Linked DNA regions of Arabidopsis thaliana. The protein of the gene in region 2 interacts with the protein of the main gene of each other region in a pairwise test. Each region holds a gene or a part of one and is shown on either strand. Other genes may lie near its edges.

Region 1 (5,643 bases), on a different chromosome or scaffold from region 2:
GCCTTAGCCGAGATTTTCTCCGGTAAACTAGTCGCAGCTTTTCCATTGGCGTTTGCCATCGCTTATCTCCCTAAAACAACCACAGTATTCAAAAATTGCTTAAACACGAATAAAATCAAAATCATAGTGAAACTCGAATACAATTTCACCAAGGTAGTGCCGAAGATTATGGAGCAATTACCAAATTTCGAAGCCGGAATCTGGAAAGAGATGAGCCAACACTTCAGAGCTTAATAAGGGAGAAGATACTACGGAGAATCAGTATATACTAAAAAAGAAGCGTAAGATATTTTTCAGAAGGTGAATGACAGAAACGTAATTTTCATTGTTTTATATTTGATTTTCTGTTTTTGTTTTGGCGATTTGATTTAGTGATTGAAAATGTGAGGATCACAAGAAAAGAGAGAGTGAAGTGAAGTTTTTGTGTGTCAGAGGAAGCTCCGAAGAACATTTTTGTATTTTTTGTTGAAAATATCTAACAAGCAGCCCCCACATCTATTTGTTTTTTAGTTAGCAACACCCTTAATATTATTTTCAATGTAAAAAGAACACCATTGTTTTCGTATTTTGGGACCATTGATCATTTTCTAAGAATTTAATTAGAAATAAATATTGGTAACCGCAATGTGGACATTCATCAAAAGAAAATAAGTAATTTGTAAGGAATTTAATTGAACTTTTGGCAACGAAAGGAATTAAAAAGGTAACCAATTTGAGTAAAAAGCCAAACGTAGTGGCTCGCTTACGTATCAATACGGTAATGAGAGGACTAGAGTGGGAAATTATTACCAGGACTGAGGTGCACGAACACGTGTGTATGCAAATCACGAGGTAGAGAAGTGCGAGAACCTCAAGGTCCCAAATCACGGATCTGCACCTGTAACTTCACTTTTCTCTGCTTCTGTGCCCGCCCTTAATCTGTTTTTCAGTCTAAAACTATTACAATATTTGATGAAAGTCTTCGTGTCTCTATACCATTGAACCGTATAACAAACAAATACTACGTCAACATTGTTTTCATTATCTTCTCTAAGGCGATTCACGACATTGAACATAGATAACTTGCTACATTTTTTCATTTATTTATCAAGGAGAGAACCATCGAGACGAAGAAATTCTAGTTTCTGTACAAAGCCGAGGTCTTGTTCCTGGTATTTACTTGGAGAGCAAAAGCTGATTCTATATAGAGTTGCAACTTCTTTACTAGCTGATCCACCTATTAAGTGACTTTGTGGTCACCTTCAAGCTGCTAAGAAGACCAGCATATATATACCATTAGAATTATGCAAAACATTGATTCAAAATGAATGAAACTGAACAGGTAAAGCAAACAACATAACCCAAGAAAAGAGAAGGGACGGACCTGTTGTGTCAAAATCTACTCTTTCTCCAGTTGCGTATATGTTGTAAAAGAGAGCAGAAAGGAGATACAATATTGCTGTAAGAAGGATGAATCCCTGGAAGGAGCCCAATAGTTCTACAAAGAAACCAGCTCCAACTGTGCCAACTATCGCAGCTAATGTCCCAGCAGTAAGACACATTCCTAAAACAGCGCAGAAACGGTTAGAGATTTTTGGAAAAATGTTTCCAGATTCCCAACAAAAATTTGATTGAGTCTAAGGCTTATTCCTTCTCAGATGGTACAAATTAGCTATATGTGTTTGATAAAACAATAGGAAACTCTGGAAACCAATGTCTATTAAAGGAGAATTAGAAAGCATACCATGTAGAACACCGGAATATTCGGGAGCAATTTCCTGAAACAAGTGGGAATAAATGTTAAAGATACTCATCATTTGTATTGGGTTAGGTATGAATCACACGCTTGGGTACCTGAAGATTAATAAGAAACCCCAAATGGCTGAATGATTTAAGCCCAACGGCTAAACTAAGCCAGGCTGATGCCACTAAAGGTTGTTTTGCCGTCGTTAGACCAATGAGAGCAATTCCAGGACCAATGAAACCAATGGACTGCCAAACAAGAAATGAAATCCCCCAGTCAGCAAAAGAAAAAGAATGCTGAATGCACCAGATTTCATTGCATCAGGCTTCAACATCTTTCGGATATGTTTACAGAACTCTTCAGTCTGAGAGAGCTCTTGATTGAATGAAATCTTGTGACACATCACGCACCTGCATGATTTTTCGCGTTAAGGTGATGCTTGTACCACGCCGTATCAACAAATCCGACCAAAAACCAGCAATGTATCCTGTGAAAGCCATCATACTCCATGGAACGGCACTAAACCAAGCAGCTTGTTTGAGGTTCACATGATATACCTGCGGTACAATATTCTTATAAATTTCTTAAGAGAACTAAAACGAACAAGATTATATTAAGAACATGTTGGTACTAGGGCCTTACTGAATTGAAGTATATGGGCATCCATGAAAGAATCACAAAGAAACCCTGGAAATAAGTCATTAAGTCAGTTCAAAGAATTCCAACAAATAGGATAACACCTGATCATAACTGTAAGTCACAGTAGTTGGTACTAACAATTTCCCTTCCACAAGAAATCCTCATAGTAACAAGAATGAAAGAGTTGTATTGAGAGGAATCTGTATACATACCCAGCTATGCATGGAATTTGCAACTATAACAGCCCAAGTCGGCATCTTGGAGAGAAGGCGTCCAAAAGGAGGTATTCCACTTGTGCTAATTCGTTTGTTCTCCATAGTAGATATTTGCTTCTTTTGCTTTATATACTCAAGTTCAGACTTTGTAATCTGAGGATGTCGATCTGGTGCACTTGACGTTGCAGAGAGCCACACGAGCAACCAAAGGAACCCCGATAGTCCAAAAATTACAAATGGGCCATATATACCTCCTTGAGACATAAGAATAGGAGACAACATGAGTCCTACAACATTCCCAAGCTGAAACCCTGCCATTGCAATACCAACCGCCCTAGAACGTTCTGTTGGGGGAAACCATCTACATCAAAAGTACTATCACTAAGAACCCAATAAACTTCAGTAACCAGATCATGTGTGTGTCTCTTTATCACATTTGAAGCAGTAATAAAATACAAAGCATCACTACCTCGCAACCATGTTGTTCATACAAGGAAGAGCCACTCCTTCAGCAACCCCAACCATCGCTCTTGCAGCAAGAAGAGCCCACAAAGAACTATCAGCCGCCCAAGGGGTAAGAAAAGTTGCCAACGACCACAAAGCCACACCCCACGCCATGACTACTTTACCACCATAACGGTCCACCAAAGTTCCACCAGCAATTGGAGAAATTAAGTATCCCCATAGAAACGATGACTACCAAAGAAACATTCAAGAAACTATGAGACGAACGAGAACAATGATTAATGATATACAGTAGAACGACTTAATACTAAAATTCCCCAAACGATCAATGAGAAAGAATAACCTGAACGATACCGGAAAATGATTTGCTCCATCCACGAGAAAGCGAAAGAGGAACAATCGCAACGGACATCACAACACGATCCGCATTGCATAGCGCCAAAGCAAGCGCGAGCATCGCAACCACTTTGACTCTCTCCGACGTTATAAATTCTGAAAAATTGGGTTGCGCCGTCAACTCCGCCGCCGTTTCTTCCGGTGTACGGCGAGCATCGCTGCAAGAAACTCTTAATCGATGACGAGGAATACCACATAGATCGACGGAAGTGTTTCCGGTGAATTTCAATGAGTTTACGACTCTCCCGGTACAGAGGACCAACTTTCTCCGGCGATCTCGCTCCGGCAAAAACGGAATCCTCCTGAGTGTAGGTAAGTTCGAAGTCAAAATTGCTCGATCTCCATGGATTTTTAGAGCGTTTCGATTATGGAAGTCAATTGAAGATTGTATAGAGAGAGAGTAACACATTTTCACCAGTCGAAGCTGCTTACGATTACTCCGGTTAGCGAAGAAGAAGAAGAAGATGCTCGCTCGGTGGTGTCTATGGATTGCAACAGCCAAATCGCATGATCCGACATCCGTCTCGTCTTGGGCCACTAATAACAGGCCCATAAGTGGTAAAAGTGGCTCGTCCTCCATATGATTTGGGCTTCCTAATTAGCACGATTTGAAGTGTATAATGCAGTTTATTTATTTTTAGCTAAACAAATTAATCAAAACCTTGTTTGGTTTCTCTTTTGTGAGAGAAAATAGAAAGTTAGGAGCTAAATTGGAAATAAAGCCAATATTATATGTAAAACAACTTTTTTTTTTCAAAATTTAGATGTCATAAATAATTAAATAAAAATGTTTAGACTTTAATACCGTGTTGTTGTGCCAAATATACAAGTATTAGTGCATATTTATCCAAAAAATCTTTGTTGTTTGAACAGAAATTCTTAGGAGCATTCCTTATCTTTTCTAATATCTTACTCTCATTATGCCTTGGAAAAAATAAAATAAAATAATTGTCAGTCACTGTATCTGGGGTAAACACGTGGAAGATTCCAATCTTTATCAGAAAATGAAAATAATCACAGTAAATCTGTATATATCGACAAAAAGAGAAAAGTATAAAATGGTAAACAGTAAATATAATAAACACTGTCTTGGCTTCGGGACTTACTAATGTTTTTTGAAGAACACAGTTTCTTCTCTTGGGAACTTGTCGTAGATCCGAATCTCTATGTTACTCGTGTTGGTCACTTTAACTGTAGTCGTATTCTCCATAGATTCCTTTTAAAATTCGCAATTATTCAAATTATGCATATCATACACGAATTATTAAAACAAAATCATCCAATTATTAAACCAAGATTTCATTTGCTGATAAACATATTCAATCAATGAAATAGAAAAAGTTGACTTTGACCTATCTATTTAGAATGGAATCCAAAGAGTTGACACATAGAAACGGCCAAATATTGACGGTGGGCTATGTTAAGTGTTAACTTATTTGTTGATTGACAGTTATACAAAATTAACACATTTTCTATTGTTACGATAATTAAGTAAGAAAAGGTAATGGATGTGATTGGTAACTATAAGTTGTACGAGTTTTTTAGCTATTAGTTTTATCGGAATAATGCAAAGCTGTTAAAATAAGCTGTATAATAAATCTAAATCTGTATAAAAAAACTGAGAGTAAAACTTTTTGTAACGCTTTTGATAAAGTTATTGTGATTGGTAACTGTTAAAGTTGTACCGCTATTATAATAGCTACCATTCAATCCAATACAAAAACAAAAAACAACACATTTTCTTTAACGAAAAATGGCTAGATATACGGTACTTATACTTTTCATATAAAAAAACTTAAGTAAATTCTACGAATATTTGCTTCAATATGATGTTATTATATTAAAATTATGATACGCATGTAAATTGTAATTAAACCATAATTTTTGAGTATTCATATAAGATTATTTTTGTAAATAATATTTTTTACGAACTTTTTTACTAACTATAGAGTGTTATGGATAATTTACATTAGATCTTTGACAAAAATACCCAAAAGAATGATGTGACCTAGAAAAATAAAGGAAAAATGACAACAATAGCACTCAAATATTTTGTGGACAAAAATTTTTTTTTCGAAAAAATATTGTCGGAAATATTTGGCGATGAATTTGTGTATTTTATAATTTTTTAATTTTAATAATTTAAAATAAAATAATTGTTTAGGTATTATTTATGTCCAAAATAATTTTGAATATTACTTTTGT
Region 2 (3,272 bases):
TTGCATATCTATCAGTTTTTAAAAGTGTCATCATAGCTCTATAAAGCTGTCTATTTAAATTAGATATACCTATCTCAAGTTCACTAATCCGTATCTAAAGAGAAAGAAAAATATCTTGATAACTAAAAATGAGTTTTAGAATGTACGGAGATAAGTTCTGAAAAAAACTGAACGAGCCACCTTTAAAAGTAATTAGATGAAGAAATAAACACAATTTGAAAAACTACATGAAAGCTAATCTCTGACTTGAGAAGTTGAGATATTTGGAACCTTTGTTAATTCTTTCAACACCGAAAACGATTTCTTAGGAAATTTCAAAAGAAATAAAAGTAAAGAGGGCAAGTATTCTGATTGTTAACCAAGCACAAAATGAAGCACCCATCAATCAATCTTTTCAACAATCAACATACCGATTCTAATTGGTCTGGCAGAATAATTACCGGAAAGGAAGAAGAATAGAACTCCAATATTTAATTATCGTACTTAATCTGTTTGTTCGAGAAACTAAATAATGGGTTCCTAGGTATATGTATTTATTTTATACATTATCTTCACATGTAACGTGCCTATTTAACGAGAATATGATTCCCTATGATTCATGCACAAACACAAATCAAATCCGGAATTTAAGTCGGATCAGGGAATAAATTATACAGCCCACACACATAATAATTTAAAACTAATATATACACAGTGAGGGGATTTAAAAGTAAAACTTATCTCCAAAGATTAATGTAAGCGACTAGTGATTGTGTTGGCATATTAACCGCACATAACATTGTTTGGGGGTTTGGATGCTTTAAAAAAGGTTCTGCCTTAGAAATTCCTTTTAGTTGACGTAATGATATATTATTGCTTACTGTAATACTAGTGGACACATTAAACAATGATCTTAAAGTACGAATGAAGAAATTAAAGAAAATGGAAGAGGAAGAATGTGGAAATGGAGAACGTAAGTGAAAGTGATTGGAAACTAATGGAATATCCGTTTTTCCTTTAGTCATGGTGGAAGCTGACGCTGAGAACCTACCCCTCCAATTGCACTACTCGCTCTATTACTTTATCTAACCAGAAGTTTTTTAAATACCCTTTACTGTATATAGTTCTTACAGTTTTATACATATTGTTAAGAACTCCATATATAGTGTATAAATGGCATTGAAAATAGTTTTGAGTTGAAACTCCTAAATGATATTAAATCTTGAGTTTAACCTAATTAAGCAAAGTAATAAAAACTGATTAGCCAAAACAAAGAGGTTAGTTAGTTCAACAGTTAGGTTAATGTGCAAATTGCCGTAACAAGATTATTAAATAATTCTTAACTTTAATTAACCTCTATCCATTATTGCATTTAAAAGATACTATTAATTAAAAGCCACCAATAAAAATTTAAACTTTATTAAAGTACTAAAGACGGATATATTAAACAAAACAATTATGAAAAAAATAAGAAAACCAACTTAATACAAGTTCAAATTAACATCCAAAAGAAGGAAATATACATGATTTTACAAATGTCTTCATTGAGCCACCACGTTAAACTAATATCATTTTTGAGGTTGATTAAAAAATTATTCATGTAAGTATAAATGCAAAAAAAAACTACATCTCTATATCAAAAACCAATCAATTGTTTACTCCATTATGGAAGATGATTCCCTAAAAAATAATTTCGTTAATACTCACTCTACAAAGTACAAATAATGAATACTGACTTTTTTCATACATTCCAAAAAAATACTGAAAACTGAACCATACACAAATCCATTGCATTAAGAAACAATCCATCCCATACGTTCCTCTATAAAACGCCTCTCACAACACAATCTCATCTCCCACCAATAAATTAATTACTTTTTTAACAAAGAAAACTTTCATTTCATTCACTCTTCCCAAACAGTAAAACACACATGCAGACAATGGAAGGACGACAATATAATTACCAAGACAGCATAAACGCGAGCTCCTCCATGGTGGTGCCTCACTCGCCTTGGCACTCTCCGGTTCCTTATCTCTTCGGTGGTTTGGCCGCCATGTTGGCTCTCATCTGCGTCGCTCTTCTCATCCTCGCATGTTCCTACTGGAGACTCTCCGGCTCCGCTGAGAGAGATCTTGAGGCCGGAGATGATGCCAAACCCGACAATGACACCAACAAAACTAAGCACACAGAAATGCCGGAGAAGTTTCTCGTCATAATGGCCGGTGATGTCAGACCTACTTACTTGGCTACGCCAGCGACTCGGTCTGAGCAAAGCTGTACTTGCGGCGATCATAACGAAGAAGAAGGAAGAAGAGGGTAGTGATCAGGTGGTATAGCAGAGCACCGGAGGTTACGGTGAGCCCTCCCTCATATTTTGAAAACAGAGCATTCGTTACGGAGTACTCCGGAATCGATCCGTCCGGTCTTTTTGTGTCGGTTCATAATTACGCCAACCTTACGTGAGCTGATGGGATATAAATTAGAGTTTTATTTATTTCGTATGGTTTTAGTTTTTTTTTGGTTGTCTCAGTTTTCTTCAAATTTTTCCCGTTTATGGTTCATGAAGGAATATCCGGTACATGTAAATTTTAAGAGTTTGAATAGATGATTGTTTTGGACTAGCGATTAAAGATAGAACTGAAGCTTGACAGACAAAATAAATAAAAGATACAACTAAAATCGTGCGTCCTTAATTCAGTTTTCGTGTATAGAGAGACAAAAATGTTTTCCCAGTGAGAGATGTACAGACATGATGCTTACGAAAGAGGGAAAGAGATGTGTTGTGAAAACTTCTAGTGATGTGCCAACAATGACGCATGCCGAATATTAAGCTAATTCGTTGTGGCGAACCGAAGTTGAGAATTATTCTCTTTGTACCTTTATTCCTAAATTTCTAGATATATTACTAAATATCATCAAGTTTTATCAAAGAACAAATAGCCTCTCAACTATACATTTCTCTCTTTTTTTCTTTTCCAGGCATATCCATTTATCATTGTTTACCATTCACTGAAATTGAAAGCATTATCGTTTATCGTTGGACAATAAATTGTCGTCTTTTGGATGATCAGTACAATGTGAACAGTGACACATATAATGGATGGAGACTACTGCAACTAACTGAATAATTGTTTTTCTAGTATGGGCAATTGGTCACTGGTTGTGTCATGTGTTTACGTCCTTTCGTTTTCTTGTCCAATTCCTACTATGTTTATTATGTGAACGTGTCAAAACAAACGAGCTCGCAAATGATGCCAATAAAACTGGAAAACCAACAATAATTGTGGAAAAA
Region 3 (6,882 bases), on a different chromosome or scaffold from region 2:
TTGGCCGGTCATCGCTCAGGCTGCCACGTGGACGGTGCTTCTAATGTTCACGGTGGCCGTCGCTTCGTTTGCTCCGGAGATGGCTTTTGTGTCTACGGTGTCGTCTTCGTGCGGAGGAGGAGATGGTTTCGTGAAGATTCCGATGGATTTTGCAGGGGAGAGTATATGCGTGCCGTCTAATATGGTGAAGAGATCGCGTTTTGATTTGTTTGTGCCTTCGATTTTCGCGGCGGTTATGGTCACTGCTTCGGCTTGTTTGATCCGATCATGTATTGGCACGGAGAATGTGGATGATTTTTAATAAACACTTGTAAATTAATTAATAATCTTGTATTCAGTTACTACATAACATCCACCATTTTGTTATTCCAAATCACGACATTATATTAAGCTGCGTCGTAGAATAGTTGACATTTGTCAGTGTTAACCCAACAATTTGATCTGTTATGTTATCCACGACCCAAAATCACAACTAAACAATTTGACATTCCGTTTTGCCATCGTCCGGTTTTAAATCACCATCAAATTAGTAATTAGTCAAGTGATCATGACAAATGCCGAGAGATACAGGAGACATTTGTGTGATTCTGAGGTTTGTCAGGTTTGCAAAGGGGGAGTGGAGACTATCTTGCATGTTCTTAGAGACTGCCCTTCGATGTCGGGAATATGGAGCAGGATTGTTCCTAGGAGGAAACAACAAGCGTTCTTTACGAAGTCATTATTTGAGTGGCTCTTTGAGAATCTCTGTGAGCAGGTTAACGTGGAAGAGGGGCCTTGGTCCACGATGTTTGCACTAGCAGTTTGGTGGGGGTGGAAGTGGAGGTGCGGTAATATTTTTGGTGAGAATAGAAGGTGTCGGGACAGGGTACGCTTTGTGAGGGATTTGGCGAAGGAGGTTTCAGCAGCTAATCAACAGTTGGTCACTCAGGGAGGTCGACGCTCGCGCGTAGAGATTCTGGTAGGGTGGGAGAAACCGTTGCTTGGCTGGTTGACAGTTAATACGGATGGGGATTCGCGTGGGAATCCGGGTTTAGCTGCTGCAGGAGGAGTATTACGAGATCATGAGGGAAGGTGGTGCGGAGGTTTTTCTTTGAATATAGGGAGATGTTCGGCACCAATGGCGGAATTATGGGGAGTTTATTACGGACTCCATTTCGCATGGGAGAGGAAAGCACCGCAGGTAGTGTTGGAGGTGGATTCTGCGATAGTTGTGGAGTTCTTGAGGACAGGGATAAGTGATCATCACCCGTTGTCTTTCCTGGTACGATTGTGCCATGGCTTTTTATCGAAGGACTGGATAGTCCGAATTGTTCACGTGTATAGGGAGGCTAATCGTCTTGCGGATAGATTAGCAAACTATGCTTTTTCTTTAGCTTTTGGTTTGCACTTTTTTTACTCTATTCCGAATGTTGTTGAGTTACTTTGGCGAGAGGATGACCTTGGGATAGTTTGCCCAAGACAGATCCCAGAACGGTAATTTTTAGTTTTAAGTTTGAATAAAAACGGGGGGCTCTTTGCCGCCCGGTCACTTACCAAAAAAAAAAATAACCTACTTTATAAACATTTTAACCAAAACGTTTTGTGACCTATCATGATAATTTGGTCTGCAACATATGTCAACGTAAAGTTTATAGGCCCAAAGACGATCAATATTAGAATGAGTAGTAGCACTTATACTTGAAACAGTGACCCATTGGGCTTAAACAGCATCTTTTTGAATCACTGGTTTTTTTAATTAATAAGAGGAGTTATCAGAGAGACGTCAGAGAACGTCCCTGCGATTGCTTGCAGCGGGAAGTTTCTTTCTCTCTAGCTCCGGATTTGCTTTGGTATGTTACTACTTCACAATCTTCAACTCCATTGATTGTATCCTTGATTGCGATTTGCTCCTACTATGTAATCGTTCTCTTGTCTCAGATCTAAATTTAAGCTCATCTTTGAATTTTAGTCTGGGACTGAGATTCTCTCTATAGATTCGTCGATCCAGTCTTATTCCTTTGTAATTTGTTTGAGATGATGATGATTATGTTGCTACAGTTTTATAATTGAGTATCTTAGAGTGAAGTTTTTCTAATTTCTCAGCTATTCAGAGGATCTAATTTTTTAATAATTTGCAGTCGAAAACCGTAAGCTTTGGCGAGTTTCCGGGAGAATTTGACGAATCTGTTTTGCAACGAGTGAGAATTCATGGGGAAAGGATCAGAAGACCTTGTGAAGAAGGAAAGCTTAAATTCTACACCTGTAAATTCGGATACGTTTCCTGCTTGGGCTAAAGATGTCGCGGAATGTGAAGAACATTTCGTTGTTAGTCGTGAGAAAGGTTTGAGTAGTGATGAGGTGTTGAAGCGGCATCAGATCTATGGTTTGAATGAGTTAGAGAAGCCTGAGGGTACTTCTATTTTTAAGCTGATTTTGGAGCAGTTTAATGATACATTGGTTCGTATTCTTTTGGCGGCTGCTGTTATTTCCTTTGTCTTGGCCTTCTTTGATGGCGACGAAGGTGGTGAGATGGGTATCACTGCATTTGTTGAGCCGCTTGTTATTTTTCTCATCTTAATTGTTAATGCCATTGTTGGCATCTGGCAAGAAACTAATGCTGAGAAGGCGTTGGAAGCTTTGAAAGAGATTCAGTCTCAGCAAGCAACTGTCATGCGTGATGGGACTAAGGTTTCCAGTTTGCCTGCAAAGGAGCTTGTTCCTGGTGATATTGTGGAACTGAGGGTTGGTGATAAGGTACCTGCTGATATGCGTGTGGTTGCTTTGATCAGTTCAACTTTGAGAGTCGAGCAGGGGTCCTTAACAGGAGAGAGTGAGGCAGTGAGCAAAACCACCAAGCACGTGGATGAGAATGCTGATATTCAAGGAAAGAAATGCATGGTGTTTGCAGGAACCACTGTCGTGAATGGGAACTGCATATGTTTAGTTACAGATACTGGGATGAATACTGAGATTGGAAGGGTTCACTCACAGATCCAGGAAGCTGCACAACACGAGGAAGATACCCCTCTGAAGAAAAAACTTAACGAGTTTGGGGAAGTTCTGACTATGATCATTGGGTTAATTTGTGCGTTAGTGTGGCTCATCAATGTCAAATACTTTCTGTCATGGGAGTATGTTGATGGCTGGCCCAGAAACTTTAAGTTCTCCTTCGAGAAGTGCACATATTACTTTGAGATTGCTGTTGCACTGGCGGTTGCTGCAATTCCTGAAGGTCTGCCAGCAGTTATTACCACATGTTTGGCTCTTGGCACACGGAAGATGGCTCAGAAGAATGCTCTGGTTAGGAAGCTACCCAGTGTGGAGACTCTTGGATGCACCACCGTGATATGCTCTGACAAAACTGGAACTCTCACAACCAATCAGATGGCTGTTTCTAAGCTCGTTGCTATGGGTTCGAGGATCGGTACTCTTCGATCTTTCAATGTTGAGGGGACCTCGTTTGATCCTCGAGATGGAAAGATTGAAGATTGGCCAATGGGTCGGATGGATGCAAATCTTCAGATGATTGCAAAAATTGCTGCCATTTGCAACGATGCTAATGTCGAGCAATCTGATCAGCAATTTGTGTCTAGGGGCATGCCTACTGAGGCAGCTTTGAAGGTAAAGCGGTCTACTACACTAGCTTGCACCTTTCTCTTCTTAACTAAATTGACTAAGAAAACTCTATTCGTTGTCCTTAGTTGATGTTTCTTTCTATTGGTGTGTGTGTTTATTTGAACAGGTTTTGGTTGAGAAAATGGGATTTCCCGAAGGATTGAATGAAGCTTCGTCCGATGGCGATGTCTTACGTATGTATTCTGAACTATATCTGTTACTTATGTTTATGCAGTTTTACAGATGCCTAACCTCCTGCACTTTTCCTTTTTTAACATTATTGAAGGTTGTTGTCGGCTATGGAGTGAACTAGAACAACGGATTGCCACCCTTGAGTTTGACCGTGACCGGAAATCAATGGGAGTTATGGTGGATTCCAGCTCAGGAAACAAACTGCTACTGGTCAAGGTCTGTTTGTCATCATTGATCATATCCTGACTCCTGGGGTCGAACGTGGGAAATCAAGTGGCTTCTGCTTTGGTTCTTGCATGTTATTAGTCGATAAAACCATTGTCCCCTCTTTTTCAGCACCTAAGAGACCAATTTTGAAATTATGCAGGGTGCGGTAGAAAATGTATTGGAAAGGAGTACACATATTCAGCTACTTGATGGTTCAAAACGAGAGCTTGACCAATACTCAAGGGATCTGATTTTACAAAGCCTACGTGATATGTCCTTGAGTGCATTAAGATGTCTCGGATTTGCTTACTCAGATGTTCCATCAGATTTTGCCACTTATGATGGCAGTGAAGACCATCCTGCTCACCAGCAACTTCTCAACCCATCCAATTATTCATCAATTGAGTCCAATCTAATATTCGTTGGATTTGTTGGTTTAAGGGTGAGTTACTGTGATATTGTTTTGGTTCTTTCTAGTTCCTCATTAATAAATATTGATGCTCGACCTTTTTAATGATTGAAGGATCCTCCAAGGAAAGAGGTGCGTCAAGCCATTGCAGATTGCAGAACAGCAGGTATTCGGGTCATGGTCATTACTGGAGACAACAAGAGCACAGCGGAAGCGATCTGCCGTGAAATTGGCGTATTTGAAGCAGATGAAGATATCTCCTCAAGAAGCTTGACGGGAATAGAATTTATGGATGTTCAAGATCAGAAGAATCATCTACGACAGACTGGAGGGCTCCTGTTCTCAAGGGCTGAACCAAAACACAAACAAGAGATTGTCAGGTTACTGAAAGAAGATGGAGAAGTGGTTGCCATGACTGGAGACGGAGTCAATGATGCTCCTGCTCTGAAGTTGGCTGATATTGGTGTGGCTATGGGCATTTCCGGCACAGAGGTACTGTTTCTCTTCTCTCATCTTCAATTCCGGATGATGATAGCTCTATCAGCTTTCTAAAGCTCTGGGCATTTTGCAGGTAGCAAAGGAGGCATCTGACATGGTTTTGGCAGATGATAATTTCAGCACCATTGTTGCAGCTGTAGGTGAAGGCAGGTCCATCTATAACAACATGAAGGCCTTCATCAGGTGAGTCTTCTACTATCACATATATATATATATGCCTATTCGTATTGATGGCTTGAGTTATACATACTAAGCCTATATATATGACTATGATGAATAAAAGGTACATGATCTCTTCCAACATCGGCGAGGTTGCATCGATATTTTTGACAGCTGCTCTTGGAATCCCAGAAGGCATGATCCCGGTTCAGCTTCTGTGGGTAAATCTCGTAACAGACGGTCCTCCAGCTACTGCTTTGGGGTTCAACCCCCCTGACAAAGATATTATGAAAAAGCCTCCTCGTAGGAGCGATGACTCGCTTATCACTGCCTGGATCCTCTTCCGCTATATGGTATGCAAAAATCGATTTGTCTCTCTCTCTCTCTTGTTCATCGTATGGGGCATTTCTGACTATTATGGATACCTACCTACAGGTGATTGGTCTGTACGTGGGAGTAGCAACGGTGGGAGTATTCATCATATGGTACACACACAGTAGCTTCATGGGCATAGACTTGAGCCAAGACGGTCACAGCCTTGTGAGCTATTCACAGCTCGCACATTGGGGCCAATGCTCTTCATGGGAAGGCTTCAAAGTGTCTCCTTTCACAGCAGGCTCTCAGACTTTCTCGTTCGACTCAAACCCTTGCGACTATTTCCAGCAGGGGAAAATCAAGGCGTCCACACTCTCCCTCTCGGTGTTGGTGGCCATTGAAATGTTCAACTCCCTGAACGCACTCTCAGAAGACGGCAGCCTGGTAACGATGCCGCCGTGGGTGAACCCGTGGTTACTCCTGGCTATGGCTGTCTCATTCGGGCTCCACTTTGTGATACTGTACGTGCCATTCCTGGCTCAGGTATTTGGGATAGTGCCACTGAGCTTGAACGAGTGGCTGCTGGTACTGGCTGTTTCGCTTCCAGTGATTCTTATAGACGAAGTGCTCAAGTTTGTAGGAAGGTGTACGAGTGGCTACCGCTACTCACCTCGCACTCTTTCCACGAAGCAAAAGGAGGAGTAAGAAATAAATCAAAAGCATTATATTATTAGACTCTTAGTTTTAGCTGAAATTAGCGTTGTTACTTACCTCGGCGTTGGTTATTTAATTTTCTAAAACGATAATTTTTGGTTTGATAAAAATGTTCTAACTTGCTTCTCATTTGGTTCACGGACAAAGAGCCTGAAATAGATGAATGTTTCAACAAAGCCCTTCATTTTTATGCTTCCTAAGTTATGTGCTAGATAGATCTCTCTTTCTGCAATATTGACTGCTTCCAAATCAATATAATTCATGGATGAAATATTGATGAATGTTTCACCCAAGCCTTCATTGTTGGGTGATTTGATTTTGTGTACTCAGATCAGAGTAAAGATACATTCTCCTTCACGTGAGACAGAGTAATCTAGTTGTTTTCTGTTTAGTTCCCCTTCCTGCAATATTGACTGCTTCCAAAGTTCCAAGTCTATAGATTATAAAAAACGAACTCATAGCAGAATTCAACTGTAATTTATCAATTATCATTAATTGCTTAGTTGATTGAATCCTGATCTTACGAGTACCAATGAAGATAGGGTGAAATGTAGCTCTGTTTCTCGATTCAACATGAATCTTCCCAGAAGCTTTGGGATTACAGTTAAAAATGGTAAAAAACCAGGAGACAAGATATCGAGTAAATTGTTCATCCTCATTAGATTTTCTTAGCTTTAAGTTTGCAAAGATTTTCAACTACACCGCATTGGCTAACAACGACATCACAATAGAAAACAAAAGCAGTAGCTAACACTCCTAGATTTACTTTAGACTAATTCAAACCATTTAACACA

What was found. The genes of interacting proteins can lie anywhere in the genome.
Region 1: the proteins of GDU2 (region 2) and PHT4;3 interact in a protein complementation assay, tested with the Arabidopsis thaliana proteins (one large-scale study listed by BioGRID).
Region 3: the proteins of GDU2 (region 2) and ECA1 interact in a protein complementation assay, tested with the Arabidopsis thaliana proteins (one large-scale study listed by BioGRID).

The regions. Positions count from the first base shown.
Region 1 is NC_003074.8:17,306,053-17,311,695, forward strand, and holds PHT4;3 (phosphate transporter 4;3), read right to left. Parts: upstream 4,017-5,643; 5' UTR 3,992-4,016; coding exon 3,386-3,991; exon of another isoform or gene 3,274-3,385; coding exon 3,047-3,273; intron 2,959-3,046; exon of another isoform or gene 2,939-2,958; coding exon 2,575-2,938; intron 2,411-2,574; coding exon 2,366-2,410; intron 2,281-2,365; coding exon 2,134-2,280; intron 1,972-2,133; coding exon 1,834-1,971; intron 1,758-1,833; coding exon 1,724-1,757; intron 1,544-1,723; coding exon 1,364-1,543; intron 1,250-1,363; coding exon of another isoform or gene 1,247-1,249; coding exon 1,242-1,246; 3' UTR 547-1,241; downstream 1-546. Other genes in the region: PHS2 (alpha-glucan phosphorylase 2), read right to left, coding at 1-59. UniProt on the Arabidopsis thaliana protein: Inorganic phosphate and probable anion transporter.
Region 2 is NC_003075.7:13,114,239-13,117,510, forward strand, and holds GDU2 (glutamine dumper 2), read left to right. Parts: upstream 1-1,789; 5' UTR 1,790-1,910; coding exon 1,911-2,300; 3' UTR 2,301-2,717; downstream 2,718-3,272. UniProt on the Arabidopsis thaliana protein: Probable subunit of an amino acid transporter involved in the regulation of the amino acid metabolism. Stimulates amino acid export by activating nonselective amino acid facilitators.
Region 3 is NC_003070.9:2,414,494-2,421,375, forward strand, and holds ECA1 (ER-type Ca2+-ATPase 1), read left to right. Parts: upstream 1-1,684; 5' UTR 1,685-1,829; intron 1,830-2,117; 5' UTR 2,118-2,187; coding exon 2,188-3,600; intron 3,601-3,721; coding exon 3,722-3,788; intron 3,789-3,880; coding exon 3,881-4,002; intron 4,003-4,153; coding exon 4,154-4,435; intron 4,436-4,516; coding exon 4,517-4,894; intron 4,895-4,973; coding exon 4,974-5,083; intron 5,084-5,183; coding exon 5,184-5,412; intron 5,413-5,494; coding exon 5,495-6,079; 3' UTR 6,080-6,336; downstream 6,337-6,882. Other genes in the region: AT1G07795 (forkhead box protein G1), read left to right, coding at 1-301.